2 linked regions of the Mus musculus genome follow. The protein of the gene in region 1 interacts with the protein of each later gene in a biochemical or structural test. Links are inferred from orthologs where the notes say so. Each region holds a gene or a part of one and is shown on either strand. Other genes may lie near its edges.

The links.
Region 2: the proteins of Anxa1 (region 1) and S100a11 form a complex in vitro, tested with the Homo sapiens proteins (2 studies listed by BioGRID). The link is inferred for Mus musculus from reciprocal best matches to the Homo sapiens genes ANXA1 and S100A11.

The regions. Positions count from the first base shown.
Region 1 is NC_000085.6:20,387,872-20,392,166, forward strand, and holds the start of Anxa1 (annexin A1), read right to left. Parts: upstream 2,801-4,295; 5' UTR 2,741-2,800; intron 1-2,740. UniProt on the Homo sapiens protein: Plays important roles in the innate immune response as effector of glucocorticoid-mediated responses and regulator of the inflammatory process. Has anti-inflammatory activity.
Region 2 is NC_000069.6:93,518,995-93,523,597, reverse strand, and holds the start of S100a11 (protein S100-A11), read right to left. Parts: upstream 3,103-4,603; 5' UTR 3,045-3,102; intron 1-3,044. UniProt on the Homo sapiens protein: Facilitates the differentiation and the cornification of keratinocytes.

The sequences.
Region 1 (4,295 bases):
ATGACAGCAATGTGGCTTATGCCCTGGTTATATGCTAGGACTATCAGTTTCACAACGGTAGTAGCAGTAATCATTAGCCACTTCTTTTTTGACAAAATAACTTTGTCACCACCCGCATTATTTCTATATGTGATGACCTTTCCAGACATACATCCTGCGAGTAGTGTCAGTGGTCATCATATAAATATATGCTTTCTGACTGCAAAATACTATGTGTTTTTAAATTAGTAAACAGAGATGAGAAGATCAGTACTACGTTTAATCCACTTGAGATCCAGATTCATCAATAGAGAATCTATTGGAGACTCAACAGTTTTCACTGCAGCCTGAGGATATTGATTTTTTCGTGTTTTTGCTTTGTGTACAATTCTTCCTTGAATACGTGCTTTGTAAGCCCTTCCCACAACTACCCACGTGGAGAAGATAATTAGACTCTTCAATGGCCACATGAGAGGTAATTAGTCTATACAATGACATCACGCTTAAAACGCCATTTAGCCAAAGATAGCACCTGGTTATTTGGCTTCGGGCTTCTGACCAGGGAGTTTCTGTGGCCTGGAATGCTCTGACCTCATCTACTCCTCTGTCTTTTGCCTGACTCACTGCTGCTTGATGAAGGCTCAGCTAAGGCTCCATGATGGTTTCACTGGGACTCAGCTCTGCACTGGGGGACCTTTGAAAGCATCTTGTTTCTGCCCATCCAATAGCCTCATGCCACTATGCATTAAGTCTTCATGCTGGCATCTAACCCTCCAGCAGTCTTCCCCGAAGACACGGACCATTTGCTTGGAATCTGCAGTACCTCATGAAGTACCTGGAATTCTGGATATCCATAAGCATTAAGAATTATTACTAAATAAATAAATAAATCTTATTAAATAAACAAACAGCACTAGGGAAACAGCTACACAGATTTAACCAACAAATTTGACCCATAATGATAGTATTTTAAATAGAAAAATCATATCGTGGTGCTGTGGGCCTTTTTGTTTGTTTGTTTCTTTTTTTCTTTAACTGGAAATTTGACTTCACACACACACACAAAAAAAACATGAAAATTCTTCAGGTAAAATGTAATGTTAATTTAATATGTAAAATGAGAATGTTAAAATAAATATAGCTATAGCTATAGATCCCAATCACTTAGCTTACATTTCACCTTGAGTCCAAAGAGGGATTAACCTAAAGAGAAAGGTATTAGACAGATTGGATGCTTGATCATTCTGATAAATGAGTATAAGATTAAAGGAAAAAGAAATATTAAACTTTGAGAATTGTTCATGGTTCATCCCTAAGGATCCAGTAGTTTTTATTTGTGTCTTTTGCTCTGACTTTAAATATGTAACAATTTAATAGGTCTAGAGGGAAATAAGTGAGCCTGTCCAGCCTGTCCAACGTTGTTCAGGCATCAACGTTGCAGAAGTTTTTGATTGAGAAAGTATTTAACAAGCATCTGACTTTAGCTGGCTCCTTATGAGTGTTGCTATAGTCTCAAGAGCAGCGGTCTCCTATCAGGGAACTAGGAGGTATAGGTGTGTCTCTGGGCTCTGGTAACCACATAACTTCTGAAATGTGGAAGAAGCCATTTCAGAAGCAGGAAACCAACATTTTACAACATATGAATCAGCTGAAACAGGACTGAGCTGCAGCGAGCAAAGCACAGTACCTGCTCAGTGTTAGGGACATTGATTTCTCAGGAGTCATACTACCGAGGCACCGTGGCAAGAGGAAGCACATTTTTAATGGACACCCATAAAATTAGGAGATAAGACATTTCATTAACAGTTTTAAGTGAGCTAAGGAAAAGGTCCTTGAAGGCACATCTGTAATAAGCCAAGTGTGTAGTTAGGAATCATATGCTCTCACTTTTGCAATTTGATTCAATATTGTACAGCTTTATTTTTGTTTTGTTTTGCTTTCCTAGGAAATTTATCTCCTTATCTTATGCTACACCAAGACCGTCGCTAGGCAGAAGAGTTTCTGTAGGGCCCCTGCGGCATTCCGTGGGATGACTTCTCTGACCTCACCCTGGAAAAATCTGCTTTCCCCTTAGGTTTTCAAATGAGCACCAGAAAAGCCTGTCTATGACACAGAGATTATAGGGAGGGGAGGTGGCCACTCCCTGCTTAAATGAGACAAGTAATAAGCGGACCATCTTAAAGTGAGTAAACATAACATTGATTCAAAACGCTAATTAAAAAGGACCACTCGGAGCCTGGGATTCATTTGGTTTTATTAAAGAAAAATATTTTTAGCTGTGAAAGCCTTCCATTTTGGAACAGTTCTTGAGAGTTTTCCATTTGTGGTTTCTGTGGGACCCCCACTTGCCTTCCCACTCCAGCTCTGGACCCACACAAAACTCACAGCTCTTTGGAAAACTTTTCCAAAGAGGAGGAAAGAAAATCCTCACTCTTAGCTTGCCAGAGCACACTTTCTCTTTGCTCCTTTAGTAACTCATCAGCAGGACAGTAAACTTGCCAGACTTTCAGACATGCATTTCTTAGTTAAGAAAGGCAAAACTTTATGATTTTGTAACGTCTAAAAGATAAGCACACAGTCTAATTTTGCAGCAGGATTAGCTAAGACATGGTATTTGCAACAAACCGTAAATCCTGTAGTTGAATTCAGCAGTCAACAGCACTTCCTTAAGAAGCCCCAGGCAAACCAAGCAAGAAGTTCTTACCCGATTTTGTGGTTTCTCCAGCAAGCAGAACTCTGTAAAATGAAAGCTAAGCCTTACCTTTGTATTTGCTTGTCTTCCCGGGGACTGAAGAGAGACTCTGCTCAGATGGTTTCAGACTGGAAGTGGAGGGTTGGACTCCTGATTTTATAGGATATGAACTGAAGCCACACCTAGCAACCAGAAGTTAGTAACTGGCTGTCTTTTGTTTGAAGAACTGGCTCAGCCCTGGTCAAAACCAAGGAGAAACAAGTCTTGCAAAACTACTCCCGGAACCATCTCAGCCACAGAAAGAAACAGGAATCATGGATTTTCCCCCTGCTGTTCCTTCTGAGGTTTTATTCCTCACAGGAATGGTTCAGTGCAGTCGTGGTTCAGCTATGTTGCTCTCCCTGTCTTATCTTGGAGAACTTACTGGGACTCCTTTAAAATTAAACACATTGACCACAAAACTAAAAAAGAAGAAGAAGAAGAAGAAGAAGAAGAAGAAGAAGAAGGAGGAGGAGGAGGAGGAGGAGGAGGAGGAGGAGGAGGAGGAGGAGGAGGAGGAGGAGAAGAAGAAGAAGAAGAAGAAGAAGAAGAAGAAGAAGAAGAAGAAGAAGAAGAAGAAGAAGAAGAAGAAGACGAAGAAGAAGAAGAAGAAGAAGAAGAAGAGGAAAAGGGAAGGAAGGAGAGGGTTTGATTTCAGCCCTAGCACTTATTACTATGTGATTTGGAGGGCTTAATTTATTTCTCTGAATTTGTTACCATTTTTGTATGTTGAAGTTATATCACTAAGGCTCTACTTATGCTCAAGACATTGTAGACAATTGAAATAGAACTTATTTGGAGGTTTTTAAAAAATGATTCTCTAATGAGTGCTTTTCTTGTGATTCACCAGCAATGCTCTTGCCTTCCTATTAAGCCTTTGAAACTAGTATAACTAAGAAACAGGGAACTCGTGAGACTCTGAATTACCTCAGCATTTTCAATAATCGATGTTAAAGATGGAATTATAATGACATTTAATAAAAACACTAGTATTGAAGAAGAGCCTATTTTTTAAATTTTTGAATAGACTCAAACCACATGAACAGAGTAGAAACAGAGCCCTGCTGTTATAGAAGAGTTGAGCAATGAGCAAAGACACGGAACTGTGAACTGTAAGGATTAATGGATTAGCAACTACCACAACAGGTGTCATAGGAAAAGGCCCATGGGATGTAAAGAAGGGAGGATTTTCCGGGAACCTCAATGTGATTCATTCTTTATAAAATCTACAAAAAAAAAAAAGAAAGAAAGAAACAAAGGAAGAAGGAAAGAAAGAAAGAGAGAGAGAGAGAGAGAGAGAGGAGAGAGAGGGAGGGAGGGAGGAAGGAAGGAAGGAAAGAAGATAGTATCTGCTGTTTCCTCTGAACTTTGCACACTAAGATTATGCTTGCATTGTACTTTTAAAAAATTATTTATTGTTTTAATTTACATGCATTGGTGTTTTGTCTATATGCACGTCTGTATGAGGGTGTCAGCTCCACTGGAAATGGAATTACAGACAGTTGTGGGCTGCCAGGTGGGTGCTGAGAATCGAAGCTGAGTCCATCTGGAAAAGCAACCAGTGCTCTTACCTGCTGAGCCTCTT
Region 2 (4,603 bases), on another chromosome or scaffold:
GCAAGTGATATTTTGTGAGCTTCCTTTTGATAGCTCCAGTGCATGCAGTAAGGTATTCCACACAGAACTCCGAGTGCTTAGAAACACTAGATGACTCAGACAAGGGAGAACTTTTCTGATATTCTTAGACAGTGTGAGAAAACATATGAATAATCTGTTCATATGACTATAGGAATCTGCACACACATGTTCTGAACTTTGGAGGGAGATTACAGTGAGTGACCTATTCCACAAGAGGCTACTGTGATTGAATGAGATGCCCTAAAGTAATTCTCATGAATTTCTCTGAAGAAAATGAACAGCACATCTGTAATCGTGCACTGGGGGGGGGGGGGGGAGGAGAGAGGACATTTTAGACGTTCGAAAGTATATTCAGCAAGGTGTGGGGGTGCATATACCCTTGGAGGATCAAGAGTTTGGGTTAACCTGGGCTACCTAGTGAAACTATAGATTTATTGTGTGTGTGTAAAGCAGAAAGCTAGACGTCACTAATTTTACTTGTGCAGAACTAAGGCATGAGAGGGCAACTATCAGGGTAGCGTCACCCCTAGGCTCTCGGCTACAAGGTTCCTTTCTACAGAGTTCTGCCTTTGTTTCATCCAAACGCCACTCATTTCCAAAGGAATGGTGGCTGGAATGTCTTAACACAGAGTTAAACCAAAGCTGTGGTTGCACCAGGAAGAGCATCATTCAAGTTCTGTGCCGGACTCTGCTTTTCCCACAGCAGAATTCCTAAAGGAAATTCTACTGAGTTGAGTCATCCTGGTTGAGATCTGTTCCCAGAATCCAGAATTGATCCGTTGTGCTCCCCCTAGTGGGTAGCAGCGCAACTGCAGGGTTTCCTAGACCCTGTCAACCACACCCTGACACTTTCTCGCTTGATGTTAACTATGATTTGTATGTATGTATGTATGTAATTTAGTATTTAGTTTTTGACTGCTCTCTAAGACGGACTTTCTGGATACGAAAGTTGGAAGCTTTCAGGCTGTGCAACAGCACATGCTAAAGATGACAAAAGCTGGCAGCCCCGCAGCCTCTCTTCCTAACACCTATCTTTCTTTTTCTTTCTTTCTTTCTTTCTTTTTTTTTTTTTTTTGTTTTTGTTTTTGTTTTTGTTTTTGTTTTTCGAGACAGGGTTTCTCTGTGTAGCCCTGGCTGTCCTGGAACTCACTCTGTAGACCAGGCTGGCCTCGAACTCAGAAATCCGCCTGCCTCTGCCTCCTGAGTGCTGGGATTAAAGGCGTGCGCCACCATGCCCCGTTCCTAACACCTATCTTAAGCAGCTTATTATCAAAATTGCACTGCTGTGGCTCACTGCACCTAGGAATGCCCAGAGTACCTGAACCTTCTTCTGGAGATAAGTTCTTTCTAAAGAGTCTGAAGGAGAGAAAACTATTGGTAAGTTAGGGGGGGGGGGGGGGGGAAACACCAAACACCACAGCCTAGAAACAAGTGTTTACACAACATGCTCTTCCTATCAGAACTAAAATCTAGCTGCCTTATTAGTGTGTCACATGATAGCAGGAGAGTTGGCACGGAGGACTCGCTAGACTGGGGAGGAGGTTCCAGGCCTATAGATGCTCCTTTCTTCTTTCCCTTAGAACAGAGGGCTCAGATGGGAAGGTTTTGCCCATGTGGAGCAGCGGCTGAAAGAGAGGGCACGGCCCACACCATCGCCCTTTTGCATGATGGGAACAGTGACAGCAAGGAAAACCCCACTGTGAAAGGACGCAGTGAGATCCTTTTAAAACGCAACCTAAACACCCAACGTTCCAGGGAAGCTTCCCCTTGACAGAAATATGTGAAAAAGAGGGAACCACACCAACTATCTCTTTCTCAACCAGCACCAAAGCTCTTCCTTCAAGTGTTCAGGGTCTCATCTATCTCCTTTCACCTCATAACCTGTTGGTGCTGGGCCCTAGGTACCCTGTGTGATGAAAAGGGGAAGAAGGAAACAATAAGTAGGAAGTGATGAAAGACTGACACACCAAAGCAGGGGTCCGCAAGCTTTCTGTTGCTGTTATTTGCAATAAAGGGACAGCTGTGGATATTTTTTAGCTCTTTATGCTCCATAAGATCTTATCACTCTTGCCATAGTCAGGCAGCAAGGGTGAGGATACATAAAGCAAAAGGGTGTGGCGGTGCCTGTAAACTCTATACATTTGATTTTCATGCCATTCTCATGCATTACAAGGGATTCTTTTCCTTTTGAATGTCTTCCAACCATTTAAAAACATAAAAATCTATAATTAGTTTGGGACTAGGGCAAAAACGCACTTGGGCCTCTCTCCAACATTTGCTGATCCTCTTTGAAGAGTCAAAGGAAGGGGTAGATTTTGGAGGGGATGTGAATTACTGGAAACATTTTTTAAAGAAACGAGGGGAACTGAAGTAGCAGGTAGGAGACAGGCAGGTGATGTAGGGAGTGGCTAAAAAGATGGCTGGGAGTGGAGTAAGGGGGAGAGGAAAAGAGCGAGCTGGGAGGGACTGGCCTCCTCCCACATTCCTGTCTGTGGTTCCAATGGCTGCAACAGGCTCCGGTTTCTCATCTGTATGTCTTGGCTGTTTGCCTGCGGTTTCCCCGCAGCTGAGTCCCCCAGAATTCAGGAAGGCTACGTTCTGAACCGCTTTCTTTCTAGTCTTCATGAACGCCTAGCGACGCTGCCCCAAGTTCTCACTGAGTCTGCAGCTCTCTGGCGGCCGCCACTGGTTGGGTTCAGGGGCTCACGGCCCCAGGGAGTCTAGCGGCCGCACCCAGCCCGGGCTCAGGCCAGTTAGGCAGCCGCACCCAGCCTAGAACTTATTTTGCCCGGGAGAACAAAAGACCGCCGTTTCTCCCCACAGGCTGTTATTAGGGTGTAATTTTAGGGCTTCCTCGTGCCCTCCACTCTTCTCTAATTGCCTCCCACAGTTTCATCTTCCCGATCCATTTTCTGCCACGTCCACACGTTAGTCCAAGATACACCCAGCCAAGAGCATGCGTAGCTCTTTGTTGTTTTCATTAAAAAGAAAAAAATCTAAAAAGTTCAAAAACTTATGCTTACCAAGTTGAGGAGCGAGGTCCGGCTGCGACTGTGGCTGACGGTGGCTGGGACAGGAGTGGCGGTCGGGGTCCGGGTCCCGCCCCTCAGCCTGACTCAGGCTGTGCCCGCCCCGGCCCCCGCCCCTCCGCAGGCCTCGGCCTGTCCCCATGTCGGTGCTCTAGACTCAGCTCACTGGTTGTAGTCCCTGTGACTCAACAGGTCTCTGTTCCTCTCTCCCTGGAATCTCAAAGATTTTTGGCTTTAGGGGAAGTCATGCCCCTAGCTCTTTTTCTATGCACGTGTCCATTTGCAGTTCAGGTCAGATAAGCAGAAAGAATGTGAGTCGTGCTCATCAAGTAGGTCCCTAGGAGCTGGGGCTGTCCTGCTACACTGAAGAAATTTAATAAACAGTTGTGATTTTTTAAATTTTTCTGACACGTGGTATTCCTGAGTAGCTAAAGCTGACTTTGATTCTCTATGTAGCACAGGCTAGCCTCAAACTTAGGACCCTCCTACCCCCGCATCCCAAGTGCTGGATTATAGGTGTGCACCATCTGGCCTACCTAAGGGCAGTGATTATTGCCAACAGAATATTGGTGATTATTGTCTAGAGATAATTTTCACCCTGCTTTCAAGTTTTAAAATGACAGTTAAGAAAACTCTTGCAGCTAAACATCTCCCTGTGCAAGTGCGGCATTTTCCTGTCTGTGTTTCAATAAAGTTGGGAATTGTATGACAAACTTCCAGCTTCTAATCCTTGGTCCACAACATCACTGCAGCACTTTTGGCAAGTACTGGCCCCTCTGAGCTTCCATTTTCCCATCTATAAACAAGCCATGCTGCCTTCACCACTTAGTAAAGGCACGTAGAATGTCTATCACATAGAGTGATGCCCTTAAGGAGACACCCCCCGCCCCAAAAAAAAGAACAACTTGCAGAGTAGATGTGAATAGGGCATTGTGTGAATGCTTCCTGGTTTCTGCTCCCCCAATTTCACCAGTCACAGTTCCTGTCTCTTGTTTAGGAACCCTTGAAGTCAGACATGGTGGCCCTTGCCTATAATCTCAGCATGTGCAAGGCTGAAGAGGGAAGACTACTGCAAGTTCAAGGCCAGCCTGTGGCCTACCTAGTGAATTCCAGAACGGCTTGGGTTACAGAGTAGGATTTTGTCTCATAAGAAAATTAGAATCCAAACCAAAACAAACACTCTTGTGTTTCCAACAATAATTCAAAAAATAATTAGATCCACCCTCTTTCCATTTCTGCCGATGATGTGACCATTTTCCCATTTTCCTTATTTGAAAACATTAGCACCATGTTTTTAAAAAAATTACTTTCTTACACGATTTTCTAAAATCATGGCCCTTGGAATTTCAGCTTACTGTGTGCTTGGACCCACCTGTCCTTCTTCCACACCTGCACTGATAGAGTTTACATCCCCACTCCCTTTTTCCATTGATTTTGCAACTGGGCCCTTGCCCTCCAATAAAAACATATTTAATCAATAAAAACACATTTTCCCAATGTGCAATTTTGATTGATTAACTGCTTACTTTAGAACAAAACACACAATAAAAGAA